2 linked regions of the Arabidopsis thaliana genome follow. The protein of the gene in region 1 interacts with the protein of each later gene in a biochemical or structural test. Each region holds a gene or a part of one and is shown on either strand. Other genes may lie near its edges.

Region 1 (7,021 bases):
ATTTATCTATAATTCGAAATATCAATTTTACTATAATATGAATATTTATATACCTATTATTCAACTATTTCACTATCATGAAAACATACAACATCATTTTATGATATATTAATATGTAATTATATTACTTATGTATTTTGAAACTTGTTTAACTTAATTTTAACAAACAATTCTTTATTCCATATATTCTTTCGTCATCTAGTACACCAACCACATCATGATATGCTAGCAATTTAAGTCAACACTTTAATTCTGTTCCTTTGCATATAGCCGTTCCTTTGCATATAGCCATATAGATTCTCATATTTCTGTGTGGATATGTCTAATGCCTCGGATGACCATTACGTGAAAACATTGTATATCAATGTTATCAAGTTATCAGACCGCACAAAAATAAACATAAAGAAGGTCATATGATAAATAAGATTCACATAAAACGTAATAATAAGAAAATATCCAACTAAAATTACTAAATTAATATGAGGTTAGATAGCAAACATCTAAACTACAACACACGTAAATGTTAGCCATTATGGATTAATAACTATTGATAAATTTTTTTTAAAAAATAAGTAAAATAGAATGAAAGTAGTACTTGATACATTATTATGATTTTTTATTTATTGAATGTTTTTAGAAAATTCACTTTAAGAGTGAGATTAATAGAAAATGTAACACAACAAAAAACTTTTAATTTTTCCTCAATTAATTTTACTAATTTGTTTATTTAATTAATGTAGAATGACACATGTCATTTTCTTGTATGATCACTCATATGAAGAGAGTTGACCAACTTTCATATATATGATTCATCACTCTTACAATTTCAACTAAATATTTAGGGCATTTTCATCCACGAGAAATCCATAAAGTTTCTCAAACAAAAAAATATTAATATTATATTATAATTTGATTATTTGATTAAAAAAATATTTTTGTTAAAAAATTAAACCAATAGTAAAAAGAAAATTGTCATGATGGATCGTAAAAAGTATCTCAAAGTTTCTGAAGCGAGAAACTTTCTACAATCTCTCTTTTACTTTTATTATTTTTATTTTTTTAACTATGAAAAATTCTTATGAGATACTACCAATGGAGATAGTTTTAGAGGTTCTTCTATAACCATCCGCTATGGTGTAAAATAAAAACTCATCCACAAACGTAAAACAACTACTCATCCATCCGCAATGATTTTCTTTTTTTTGAAACACTATATAAATTTTAAAAATAAAACGATGAGACTACTTATAAGGTATTTTTGCATATAAAAGTATAAAGTTCAATTTTGTGTGTCGGTGGTTTCCTGATACTCTTGTACTCTTACATTTTCAGTAGCTTTCCCACGTGACCAATTATTTTACTCCCTTTCTTAGTCCAATTATGGTTTTCTAGCACCTCTTTTTATTTGAACTTTTATATGAACTATTAATAGTTCACTTTATAGTTTTTCTTAACATTCACAGGCCCACAAATTTTACAAGAATCAGACATTATTTGCTTTAAATTTGATAAATTTTGCAGTCCTAGTCCTGGTAAATTCAGTATTTCTGTCATATTCAATACCATCAATTTCTAGTGCCATTTTTATGATTGCAAAATCCAACAAAAACAAACAAAACCATGTTGTGGTCTAATGTTTGTTGCCCCAAAACAGAAAGAGGATTCACACAGTCGACATTTGCATAAGACGCAGGAAGTATAACTGGCTTATTAAGAAGATTTAAGGGACGCATTTAGAGATATGGTTATTGCATGAACCATGATGTAGCCATTTAAAAGTTTATGGTTAACTTAACTATTTGCAACGATCGATATTTTATCAAACGATGCTACTGTATAAGTTTCTCATCATATGTCCTAATTCCTCCTTATTATCTACACCAGTTAGACCTGTCCTCCAATTTTACGCTTTGTACATACAGCATTCGGCGAAAGCACATGAACCGACCATTTACACATCCTGAGACAGTGTCGGTCAAAATAAAGTAAAGAACTCAGCACAATACACCCACTACCACTTCCTCCTCCTCAAACATTAACACACCATTATTTTATGTTTTCTTTATTACAGACGTCGTCAAACCGCCGTAATAACTTTTTAATAAAATAAAAATCCACTCGCATTTTTATTTTCAACATTGTGCGTACGGTGCAATTCAATGAACAGTGTTTACTTTCAGTGTGTACACTTCTGCGGACTATTACAAAGTCCACGTCTTATCCTACGTGTTATAATCTCATATGTTACTGTCTGAAATGGACCCCACTACGTAAAAATAAAATTAAGAATCAACCACTCTTCTTCCATCACCTCTTTTGGCTTTCTCTCTACTCTCTCTACTACTCTCTCACCATCACTGAGTTAAGAGAACAAACCAAAAACAAAATTATCAAACCATCACCAGCAGAATCTTAGCTGGATTCATCACTCTATTCAAAAAGTTTCTCTCTTCTCTTTTCTCAGATCTTGAACTCTTGAAGAAGAAAGAAGAAGATAACACAATGCTCTTCTTCTTATTCTTCTTCTACTTACTCTTATCTTCATCCTCCGATCTAGTCTTCGCCGACCGTCGTGTACTCCACGAACCATTCTTCCCTATAGATTCACCACCACCGTCACCACCATCACCACCACCACTTCCTAAACTACCATTCTCTTCAACCACTCCTCCATCTTCATCAGACCCAAATGCTTCTCCTTTCTTCCCTTTATACCCTTCATCTCCACCACCACCTTCTCCAGCCTCCTTCGCTTCTTTTCCGGCGAATATCTCATCTCTAATCGTCCCTCACGCCACTAAATCCCCACCTAACTCCAAAAAACTCCTTATCGTCGCTATCTCCGCCGTTTCCTCCGCTGCTTTAGTCGCTCTACTTATCGCTTTACTCTATTGGCGAAGAAGCAAACGTAACCAAGATCTTAACTTCTCCGATGATAGCAAAACATACACCACCGACAGTAGCCGCCGTGTCTACCCTCCTCCTCCGGCAACGGCGCCTCCAACACGACGCAATGCGGAGGCTAGAAGTAAACAGAGGACCACCACGAGCTCCACCAATAACAACAGCTCTGAGTTTCTTTACTTAGGAACAATGGTGAATCAAAGAGGAATCGATGAACAATCTCTTAGTAATAATGGATCAAGCTCAAGAAAACTTGAATCTCCAGATCTTCAACCACTTCCTCCATTGATGAAACGAAGTTTCCGTTTAAATCCAGATGTTGGTTCAATCGGAGAAGAAGATGAAGAAGATGAGTTTTACTCTCCACGTGGCTCACAAAGCGGGCGAGAACCGTTAAACCGGGTCGGACTTCCGGGTCAAAATCCTAGATCTGTTAACAATGACACTATCTCTTGCTCATCTTCAAGCTCTGGTTCACCAGGAAGATCAACATTTATCAGTATCTCTCCTTCAATGAGTCCTAAGAGATCTGAACCAAAACCGCCGGTTATCTCCACACCAGAACCGGCGGAGTTAACCGATTATAGATTTGTTCGGTCTCCGTCACTGTCGTTAGCTTCTTTATCGTCGGGATTGAAAAACTCCGATGAAGTAGGATTGAATCAAATCTTTAGATCTCCGACGGTTACATCTCTAACAACTTCACCGGAGAATAACAAAAAAGAGAACTCTCCATTATCATCTACTTCAACTTCACCGGAACGACGACCAAATGATACACCAGAAGCTTACTTGAGATCTCCGTCGCATTCTTCTGCTTCTACATCACCGTATAGATGTTTTCAGAAATCTCCGGAGGTCTTACCGGCGTTTATGAGTAATCTCCGGCAAGGTTTGCAATCTCAGTTACTATCTTCTCCTTCTAACTCTCATGGAGGACAAGGTTTCCTTAAGCAGTTAGATGCATTACGTTCTCGTTCACCGTCGTCGTCTTCTTCTTCTGTTTGTTCTTCACCGGAGAAAGCTTCTCATAAGTCACCAGTTACATCTCCTAAGTTATCTTCCCGGAATTCGCAGTCTCTATCATCTTCTCCGGATAGAGATTTTAGTCATAGCTTAGATGTATCACCACGGATATCGAACATTTCACCTCAAATTTTACAGTCTCGTGTGCCTCCGCCTCCTCCTCCTCCCCCACCGTTGCCGTTGTGGGGACGACGGAGTCAGGTGACTACTAAAGCGGACACAATCTCGAGACCGCCTTCTCTTACACCGCCTTCACATCCTTTTGTGATCCCATCTGAAAACTTACCAGTGACTTCGTCTCCTATGGAGACTCCAGAGACGGTTTGTGCGAGTGAGGCGGCGGAGGAAACTCCGAAACCGAAGCTAAAGGCGTTACATTGGGATAAAGTTAGAGCAAGTTCGGATCGTGAGATGGTTTGGGATCATCTTCGATCAAGCTCTTTCAAGTGAGTTAATGTGACATACTCGTTTATATGATACTATATGCTTTTAGTGAGAATGTGGTTGTTGAGATTATGAATGTGGTTTGCAGATTAGATGAGGAGATGATTGAGACGTTGTTTGTGGCGAAGTCGTTAAACAACAAACCAAATCAGAGTCAGACAACTCCAAGATGTGTTCTCCCGAGCCCGAACCAAGAGAACAGAGTCCTGGACCCGAAGAAGGCTCAGAATATTGCCATCTTGCTTCGTGCACTTAATGTCACTATAGAAGAAGTTTGTGAGGCTCTTCTTGAAGGTAAACTATGCTGTCACATACATAGTTTCTCATTTTCTTCTCCTTTGATCTCCAGAATTAGAGTTCTTATGCATTTGTTAATGGTTTTTCGATGATATGGTTGAGTTATTCTGAAAGCTTTGCTTCTTTGATGGTGTGGAGATTCTTGGTTACATTGATGTTCTTAGTTATGCTTTTTCAGGCAATGCTGATACACTGGGGACTGAACTTCTTGAGAGCTTACTGAAGATGGCACCGACAAAAGAAGAAGAGCGCAAGTTGAAAGCGTACAATGATGATTCGCCTGTTAAGCTTGGACATGCTGAGAAATTCCTTAAGGCAATGTTGGACATCCCTTTCGCCTTTAAAAGAGTTGATGCAATGCTCTATGTAGCCAACTTTGAGTCCGAGGTTGAATACTTGAAGAAATCTTTTGAGACTCTTGAGGTATATATTACAAGCTATTCTCTCTCTTTTTACCATATGGTTGTATTGTAACAGATTATGACTTCATTTCTATTGTTTGTGTAGGCTGCTTGTGAAGAACTGAGGAACAGTAGGATGTTCTTAAAGCTTCTTGAAGCGGTTCTAAAGACAGGAAACCGTATGAACGTTGGAACAAACCGAGGAGATGCACATGCGTTCAAGCTTGATACACTTCTCAAGCTAGTCGATGTCAAAGGCGCTGATGGGAAAACAACTCTCTTGCATTTCGTTGTACAAGAGATAATCCGAGCAGAAGGCACACGTCTCTCAGGTAACAATACACAAACAGATGACATTAAATGCCGGAAACTAGGTCTCCAAGTTGTATCAAGTCTCTGTTCTGAGCTTAGTAACGTCAAGAAAGCTGCTGCGATGGACTCAGAAGTACTAAGCAGCTACGTCTCCAAGCTTTCTCAAGGCATTGCCAAGATCAACGAAGCAATCCAAGTCCAATCAACAATCACAGAAGAAAGCAACAGTCAGAGGTTTTCGGAATCGATGAAAACGTTTCTGAAAAGAGCTGAGGAAGAGATCATCAGAGTACAAGCTCAAGAGAGCGTAGCGTTATCACTTGTAAAAGAAATCACAGAGTATTTCCATGGAAACTCGGCTAAAGAAGAAGCGCATCCGTTTAGAATATTCTTGGTGGTTAGAGACTTCCTTGGAGTAGTAGACAGAGTTTGCAAAGAAGTAGGGATGATAAACGAAAGAACAATGGTTAGTTCTGCTCATAAGTTTCCTGTTCCAGTGAATCCAATGATGCCACAACCTCTTCCTGGACTCGTTGGACGAAGACAATCTTCTTCTTCTTCGTCGTCGTCTTCAACCTCTTCGTCTGATGAAGACGAACATAACTCAATCTCATTAGTTTCTTAAGGTGAGATCTCAGCTTTGTCTGTGCATGTTGTTGTAAAAAGTATCCAGTATTGGATTGTTTTGTCATAATAGATTTAAATATATATATATAGAGGGAGGGAATTAATGACAGAAACAAAGAAGTGTTTTTCTTTTCTGCATTTGTGTAAAAAAAATAATATAGGTTTACCTTAAAATTTGTTCATCTTAAATTAATAATTTAAGAATCAAATAAATTTGTTTATCTGAACCGTGTGTACCACGAAAGAATGTGAGAGCAAACATATTACTTACTTACCCTTCGTTGCTGAATATAATGATCATTATAAATCACTACCTCCAGTACCTTCTACCTTCTTCAAAGAACCTTGTTGGATTTGAACCAAAGTTGGAACATAATTGACGAGAGGTGAGCATCTAGATTCTGCATCGTGATGATGATCCACTTTTATCTATTTATTTTCTCTCAAAATGTTTAAGAAAGTGTTGGAGACCTCATTTTACCAGGTAACACTAAAACTTTATTCTCGGGGTCTGACGAAGAATAACAAGTTTACTAACGCTCAAAAATTACATTGCAAAAAGAATATTAAATACAAGAATTACAACAAGAACAAGGGTATTCAAATTACAAATTCTATAGCAAAAAAAAATAAATCTTAAAAAATGTAATAACTGATAACAAACAATTTTACAAGTTCACTAACGCTCGAAATACATTGCAAAAAGAATATTAAACAAGAATTGAGTTAAAATTGTAGAAATTGTTGTGAAAAAATCAATATTGAAATTGTGTTGGAGAGGAAGCAAACTCTATGTGATCGTCAAGTTGTGGAGTTTATGTAATCGTGATTCGTGATCGTGAAGTTGTGGAGTTTATGTAATCGTGATTCGTGACCGTGAAGTTGTGGAGTTTATGTAATCGTGATTCGTGATCGTGAAGTTGTGGAGTTTAAGTGATCATGATTCGTGACCGTGAAGTTGTGAAGTTTGTTTTTGCAATTTTGTGTGCATGGATTTTTTTTTTGGATGT
Region 2 (6,888 bases), on another chromosome or scaffold:
TTTTATATATAAAGAGATAGATAATCTAACTGAGAAATCCACTTGAAGCTATTCAACAATTTTTATAGCTTTCTTCCTCTCCAAAACCACACCAAAAAAAAAAAAAAAAAATTTGATTTTCAGATCCAATCAACCAGAGATGAGAGATAACAACAATAACAACACAAGAGAAGAAGAGAGAAGCAGTTCTTCAAAGCAGCAACAACCACAAGCTCCTATGTCTTTGAAGATCATAGATTCATGTCTCAGACTAAGTGTGGTTCCTCTCAGTGTTGCAACCATCTGGTTAACTGTCACTAACCACGAATCCAACCCGGACTACGGCAATTTAGAGTACAACTCCATCATGGGTCTCAAGTAAACATATACTCTTTACTTTCTTTCAACTTTTTAGTAAGTATTTTATAATTATTAATTAATTAGTTATAATTTGTAGGTATATGGTTGGTGTGAGTGCCATATCTGCTATTTATGCTCTGCTCTCTACTGTTTCTTCATGGGTCACATGTTTAGTCTCCAAAGCTTGGCTCTTCTTTATTCCTGACCAGGTTTTTTAAAATTATCTTCTCAATCATTTATCAAATATCTAGTATGCAATTTCTTATGTTAGTTAATAATGTTTTTATATTTTTTTGGGTGTATGAAGGTTTTAGCTTATGTGATGACAACATCAGTAGCAGGAGCAACAGAGATAGTGTATCTACTTAACAAAGGAGACAAAATAGTGACATGGAGTGAAATGTGTTCTTCTTATCCACATTATTGTTCAAAACTCACAATTGCTTTGGGACTTCATGTCTTTGTTCTTTTCTTTTTCTTATTTCTCTCTGTCATTTCTGCTTATAGAGCTTTTAGTCCCTTTGATCCTCCTTGTGATTCTCAAACCAATAATGATGCTTAAATTAGTCAGTTTTGGATTCAACTTTATCAAAATGTTGCAGCAGTTTATGGTGTTTTAACTTTCTTCTCAAAATATTACAAAATATTTTTTTTTATGCCGCCAACTGTTGTTGTAGGCACCATACTCCTACAAAGAACAAGCGGGTTAGGCAGCCGTTTAGAAATACCAATTTATTTTATGTTTTTTAAGGCTACCAAATTATTATTTTACTTTTTAATGTTAATATATAGGTGTATCTTAAAATTTTTGTTTAATAAATTTTTTAACACAAATTTTGCATGATTTTAAACTAATTTTGAATAAGGGATAGAAAGAGCGCTACAAAAAAAATCTTGACTCGGACCATCATTTTTGTTGGACCGGCACATCCTGTAGATGTATAAATAACTTATTTTGCGGAAAAAAATAGATGTTTACATGATTTTACCTAAATACTACCATTTATGTAAATCTATAAATATCAGTTTATAGCAAGTTATAAATCCTTACATGGATTAACAGGTGTACAAAATTTTACAAAATAATAAATACAAAAGCATTGAAATAGTGTTTTTAACCAAAAGAAAAAAAAGATACTGTAATCTATAGAAAGAATCAAAGTGAAGTTGCAGAAATAAAGACCAAATCAAATGAATAATTTATTAAATTGATAAGGTGGCAACCAACAAATATATTGCACTTAATATAGTAAAAAATCATACATTGCTGTCAGTGAGTAGTAAACCAAGTAGTCACCCATATATAAATTTCTTGAAAATATGAAACTCCTAATCCTACATGACTTAAACCTTTTTTAGATAATTTCATTATCAAATGGCTATTCTTTCAATTCACCCTTATATCTTTGCACAACAATAGAGAGAGAAAAAGAAGTTCAAAAAAAACATAAGATCTAATTAAGAGAGGTTTTTGGTCTAGTTCCTCTGGTTCATACCACACCAACCATGAAGAACAGCTACAAGCATGAACTCATCTCAACCTCAACGAACGAAACTGATCGAGTCATTAATCGTTGCTTTCTCCGGAAAAAGACCACAAAAGAAGTCATTCATCTCAAAGCTTCTCAGGTCGAATCAGATTCGTATTCCTTCATCGTAACTTACCAGCCAAATCTTCGGATTCGTCATGAAAATCTCGATGGACACCAACTTAAGACCACTCTTGAACGTCATCCCGATCGTGTATTTAAACTCGAAGACAACATCCCAAAACAGTTTCTTGTCTCTCAAGAAACATGCCTTGAACACGTCATGATCATCTTGTCGGCGATGTATCTCCCGCAAACTATTCAAGAACGTCTTGTCCGTTACATCTCAACCGAATCCGTCAAGTTCAGAAACCGCCGCTGCGGAACAGGAGGAGGTTTGAAGGTAGAAGTTGACGTTAAAGTCGACGTGGAACAATGGGTGAGGATTGATTGTTGTTGTAAACAAAAGGGTACTTGTCTGGTCCCGGCGTTGGATTGTCCGATATGCTTAACGGAGTTATCTAGTGGGGTGAGTCGCATGAAGTTACCATGTTCCCATGTTTTTCACAGAGACTGTATAATGACGTGGCTGAAAAAGAACCCTTCTTGTCCTATCTGCCGAACCAAAGCTCATGGCAAAACTGTTTCTATCTATTAAGCTGTATGTGAACTTTTGTATTGGGCTTTAATATGTGAATTGGGCTTTTATCCAATCCATTTAAGCCCATTTAGTTTCCTTGGTCGGAAAAAGCAATAAGAATCATTTTTTCTTAGTCTCTTCGACCAAAATTCTCAGCAAGAACGAAGAAAGACGAAATATTCGCAGGTAAAAATCACACTTTCTACTTGTGTAAATCAAAACCATTTTTCATTCAATTTGTTTACGAAATATGAGTAATCCTCGTTTAACTTATGAATTTGAGTTACTGGATCGCAGTATTTTTGCTATGAAACATTCAAAATTTTCAATAGAATTAGAGCGCAAAGATTCGAGATTTTGTCAACTCTAGTTCTGTGTAGGCCTTAAGTTATGTTTACATCATCATCATGATCATCATCAAGTGATAGTCTTCTTACAGGTCAAAGCTTGGTGTTGAGTTCTCTTCTATCTTTCTCATGGAGACGAGCTCTAACTTGTCTTCCATGGTTCGTCTTAACATTGGTAAATTTCGTCCTTTTATATATTTTCTTGCAATCCCATTACTCATCACTTAGTTAAACGTTTAAATTCCTGTGAAAAATCAATCCTTTTTTATCCACAATGTTTAACTTTGAACCAATTATTGATTAACTAAAACTGGTAGCTAGAATCGTGTGAGAAAGGATGTGCTTGGTCATCTTTTCCTAGTTATGTTTCTGAATCCTGTGATTGAGATGGTGAATGCTCTAGTTCAGCAAATGTTTCTCACTTTGAGGCTTAGGTTTCGTTGACCTCTCTGGTTTCAGTTGTAAACTTCAATCTTTGTTGGGCTGATCATAATTAACTGTGATAGCTAATGTTGTTTTCATGCAGGTGGAAAGAAATTTTGTACGACCATTGATACTTTGACTATTCGTGAGCCAGACTCAATGCTCGCAGCGATGTTTAGTGGTCGACATGCAATGTGCCAGGAATCCAAAAAGGTAATTGTTGCATTCTTTATTACTTGATTTGCACCCCAATATTTTGTTTCAGGATGGTGCTAGTTCAGAACCTGCATATTTATAGGCTTCACTGAGTGTAATAGTTGGTCCTTGGATTGAGTAGCCTTCATTGAATGATATTTTAAAATTTAGTTTACAACAGAGACTGTGATTTTAGCTACCGACTATAAGATTTGCTTCAAAATATAAGAATCGATTCAAAGTTTTGACGCCATGTACCAGAAAATCTGTTAGACATAACAATATACTGTATACACTCACATTTATATGTATGAGTATGCTTTTTCCATTTAGCAGCACCTTAGGATGGCATAATAGCCTTAAAGACTTTAAGTTAAGGGCGAGGTTCAAACGAGGAAAGGCTTGCGCTGTATGCATACATGGATGTGTATTTCCACTAAACTAGTTAATTTTTATTGTTGCAGGGATATGTATTCATAGATAGGGATGGGAAGCACTTCCGTCATATTTTAAATTGGTTGCGTGATGGCGTTATTCCTAGTCTGTCAGATCCTGATTGTTCTGAACTTTTGCGGGAAGCAGACTACTATCAGCTTCTTGTACGCTAAGTTTCTCTCTTACCTTACTATTCTCGTTTTTGTTTTTCATTTCTTAGCTAGTAACTGGAGTTTTACTTTCTGTGGAGTACAGAAATAATTTGTGTTGGAGATGTAATACATTGCATTCTCTTCCTATTTCAGGGACTGAAAGATGGAATAAAAGATTCGAGAAAAGAAGTTGGTGAAGTAGAAGCTGAATTAACGCGTATAGATATCATCAAATGTATACAAACCGAAAGAGTCAGGTTCCGAGGAGTTAATCTTTCTGGAATCGATCTTTCTAAACTGGTAATATTTCTTAACCTCATATTCTTGTAGTTTACAATGCTGCTGATTTGAAACCACTACATTTCTGATCCCCAAATCAGTTCCTTCAGATTTCATTTGTGGGTTTGATTAACTTCTATGAAGGAAAATTAATAGAACGTATGGACTAACTGATTCTTGTTGTTTTAACCTGGAGTTTAAAAAGAACTTGCAGTTACATTTTAATTTGATTTTTTCAACTGGAATACACATCTGCTGTCTTAGTGAGTGTCTTTATTTCTTGTCAACATTAAGGGATTAGTAAACCTATCCGGGAAGAAGAGCTTCTTCGTCTTAGTCAGTGTCTAGAAGAAACCATTTCGTATTTACTGTCTGAATGTTCTCTTTGAATAATGTAGGATCTATCCCTTGTGGATTTCAGCTATGCTTGTCTCAGGAATGTGTTTTTCTCTCGTACAAATCTTCAATGTGCCAAATTTCGGGTAAATATGTTGTATCAACTTTTTTTCTGCTTTGCGAGACGAATAATATCATCGCATCAGGGGAGTTTGCTTGAACATCTGCTGAATTACTTAATGCTTAAACAGAATGCTGATGCAGAAGGCTCCATCTTTCACAATGCTATTTTGCGCGAGTAAGGAATTTGTTAGTTTCTCATCGTATATTGGACAATTTTTACTTGGTAACACTCACCTGAAAGATTTAAATTCTTTCTTTCCTATAAAAGGTGTGAGTTTACCAGCGCAAATCTTAGAGGAGCGTTGTTAGCTGGTACAAATCTTCAGAGTGCAAATCTACAAGGTGCATATAAGCCTATCTTGCTTGTTAACGATCTTTTAGACTGTCATGAAATGAAATTTGTACATACATATAACCATAATCTTACTAATTTGTTCCTACTTGTGTACTGTAGATGCCTGCTTAGTGGGCTGCAGCTTCTGTGGTGCAGATCTCCGCACTGCACACTTGCAGGTGCCTTAAGTAGTTAGTCTGTGTAGAATTAGAATTTTAGCTTAGACTTTTCACCATGACAATTAATGGTTATGAATTGCCGGTTTAATCCCCACCTTTCAATCCCACGTATCCAGTAGGTGTTTATGAGCATAGCGTGATTCGGTGATAATGTTTGATTCTCTTTCTTACCTAACAGAATGCAGACCTTACGAATGCCAACTTAGAAGGAGCAAATCTAGAAGGTGCAAATTTGAAGGTAAGCAATTCCTTTTATTGACAATTTATATTCAGCCTTATTTGATTTGTGCTAATAAGTGTAGTCTTAAATGAGTAGTGTTTAGTTACGGTTTTAACTGGATCTTATATGTATAGGGTGCAAAGTTGAGTAATGCCAACTTCAAAGGAGCAAACCTTCAACGAGCTTACTTGAGGCATGTGAATCTGCGAGAAGCGGTAAGTCCAAAACCAATACTTGGGTATTGAAAAACATACATGCGCAGATTGATTGATATAGGCCAGTAATTGGTTGGCTCTTATACAAGTTTCTGAGTAGAGTTTAAATGGTTAATCCTTGCGATATGTTTATGTAACAGCATATGGAAGGAGCAAACCTCGGTGGTGCTAATATGACCGGTGCTATCCGATAAACTCCATTTGTTCAGACTGACTGTAAGTCTCGTCTTTGTAACTGATTATGGCAAAACGTGAATGTATTGGCCATTTCTCAATGCTCCTTGTTGTTGAAAATTGAAATAACAAAAATATTTCTTTTTTTCTAAGAGGCATTTTTTCTAATAATGTTATCTTTCTCTAATCCCAAATGAATTTGGAAATTATAAACCTTCTAATCCTACATGAGTTTGCTTACGTTAAACAACAACAAAAGGAACACTATATATATATTCAGGTAGAGAGAACGAAGTTACAATCATAAGACAAACGAAATAATGTTGAAAATATTAGGGTTTAGTGGTAATAACAAAGTACCCAAAGATACCAGCTTCGAGCTACCGGACCATGTTACCACTATAGAGCGAAACTGTACGTGTTTCCACGAGTCAAAGACAACCAAGGAAGGCATTAATCTCAAAGCTTTTCCGGTAAAATCAAATTCGTTTTCCTTGTCAGTAATTTATGAAAAACTCGAAAATTTGGTAATAAAGATCTCGCTGAACACATATTCTCTTTACGACTTCAAATTCGTTTCAAACTTTCTCGATAGAAAGTCAAGGCAAATTACTTTTCTATTATGTTTTCATATTTATTTCAATTACTAAATATCAAACATTCGATTGTATGTATTAAAAAGAAAAGAAGAAATTTTTTTTTGATAATTATAATTAGCAATATATACAAGAAATCTTTAATACACTTAAGGCAATAACTTAAAATCTTCTTTTCTCACTTTTTTATTTCCTATCTCATTAAATTTTCTTTTCTCACTTCTTTAATACACTTAAGGCAATAATCATCTTTATCAAACTTTATTAATTATTTTTATATTTTTATATAGATACTATATTTTGGAAATTACCATTATATATATATATATATTAAATTTTTATTAAATACCAAAATTATGTTTTATTTTATTA

What was found.
Region 2: the proteins of AFH1 (region 1) and FIP2 form a complex in vitro, tested with the Arabidopsis thaliana proteins (one study listed by BioGRID).

The regions. Positions count from the first base shown.
Region 1 is NC_003074.8:9,250,308-9,257,328, reverse strand, and holds AFH1 (formin homology 1), read left to right. Parts: upstream 1-2,245; 5' UTR 2,246-2,502; coding exon 2,503-4,376; intron 4,377-4,462; coding exon 4,463-4,668; intron 4,669-4,849; coding exon 4,850-5,094; intron 5,095-5,178; coding exon 5,179-6,009; 3' UTR 6,010-6,236; downstream 6,237-7,021. UniProt on the Arabidopsis thaliana protein: Might be involved in the organization and polarity of the actin cytoskeleton. Involved in polar pollen cell growth process by maintaining tip-focused cell membrane expansion for the polar extension of pollen tubes.
Region 2 is NC_003076.8:22,315,660-22,322,547, forward strand, and holds FIP2 (potassium channel tetramerization domain-containing protein / pentapeptide repeat-containing protein), read left to right. Parts: upstream 1-2,645; 5' UTR 2,646-2,694; intron 2,695-2,947; 5' UTR 2,948-2,984; coding exon 2,985-3,030; intron 3,031-3,381; coding exon 3,382-3,491; intron 3,492-3,937; coding exon 3,938-4,072; intron 4,073-4,213; coding exon 4,214-4,360; intron 4,361-4,737; coding exon 4,738-4,821; intron 4,822-4,926; coding exon 4,927-4,973; intron 4,974-5,066; coding exon 5,067-5,140; intron 5,141-5,252; coding exon 5,253-5,311; intron 5,312-5,489; coding exon 5,490-5,549; intron 5,550-5,665; coding exon 5,666-5,746; coding exon of another isoform or gene 5,747-5,776; exon of another isoform or gene 5,777-5,886; coding exon 5,887-5,940; 3' UTR 5,941-6,146; downstream 6,147-6,888. Other genes in the region: AT5G54980 (Uncharacterized protein family (UPF0497)), read left to right, coding at 140-357, 437-548, 647-901; AT5G54990 (RING/U-box superfamily protein), read left to right, coding at 1,846-2,526; AT5G55010 (uncharacterized protein), read left to right, coding at 6,241-6,570. UniProt on the Arabidopsis thaliana protein: May act as a substrate-specific adapter of an E3 ubiquitin-protein ligase complex (CUL3-RBX1-BTB) which mediates the ubiquitination and subsequent proteasomal degradation of target proteins.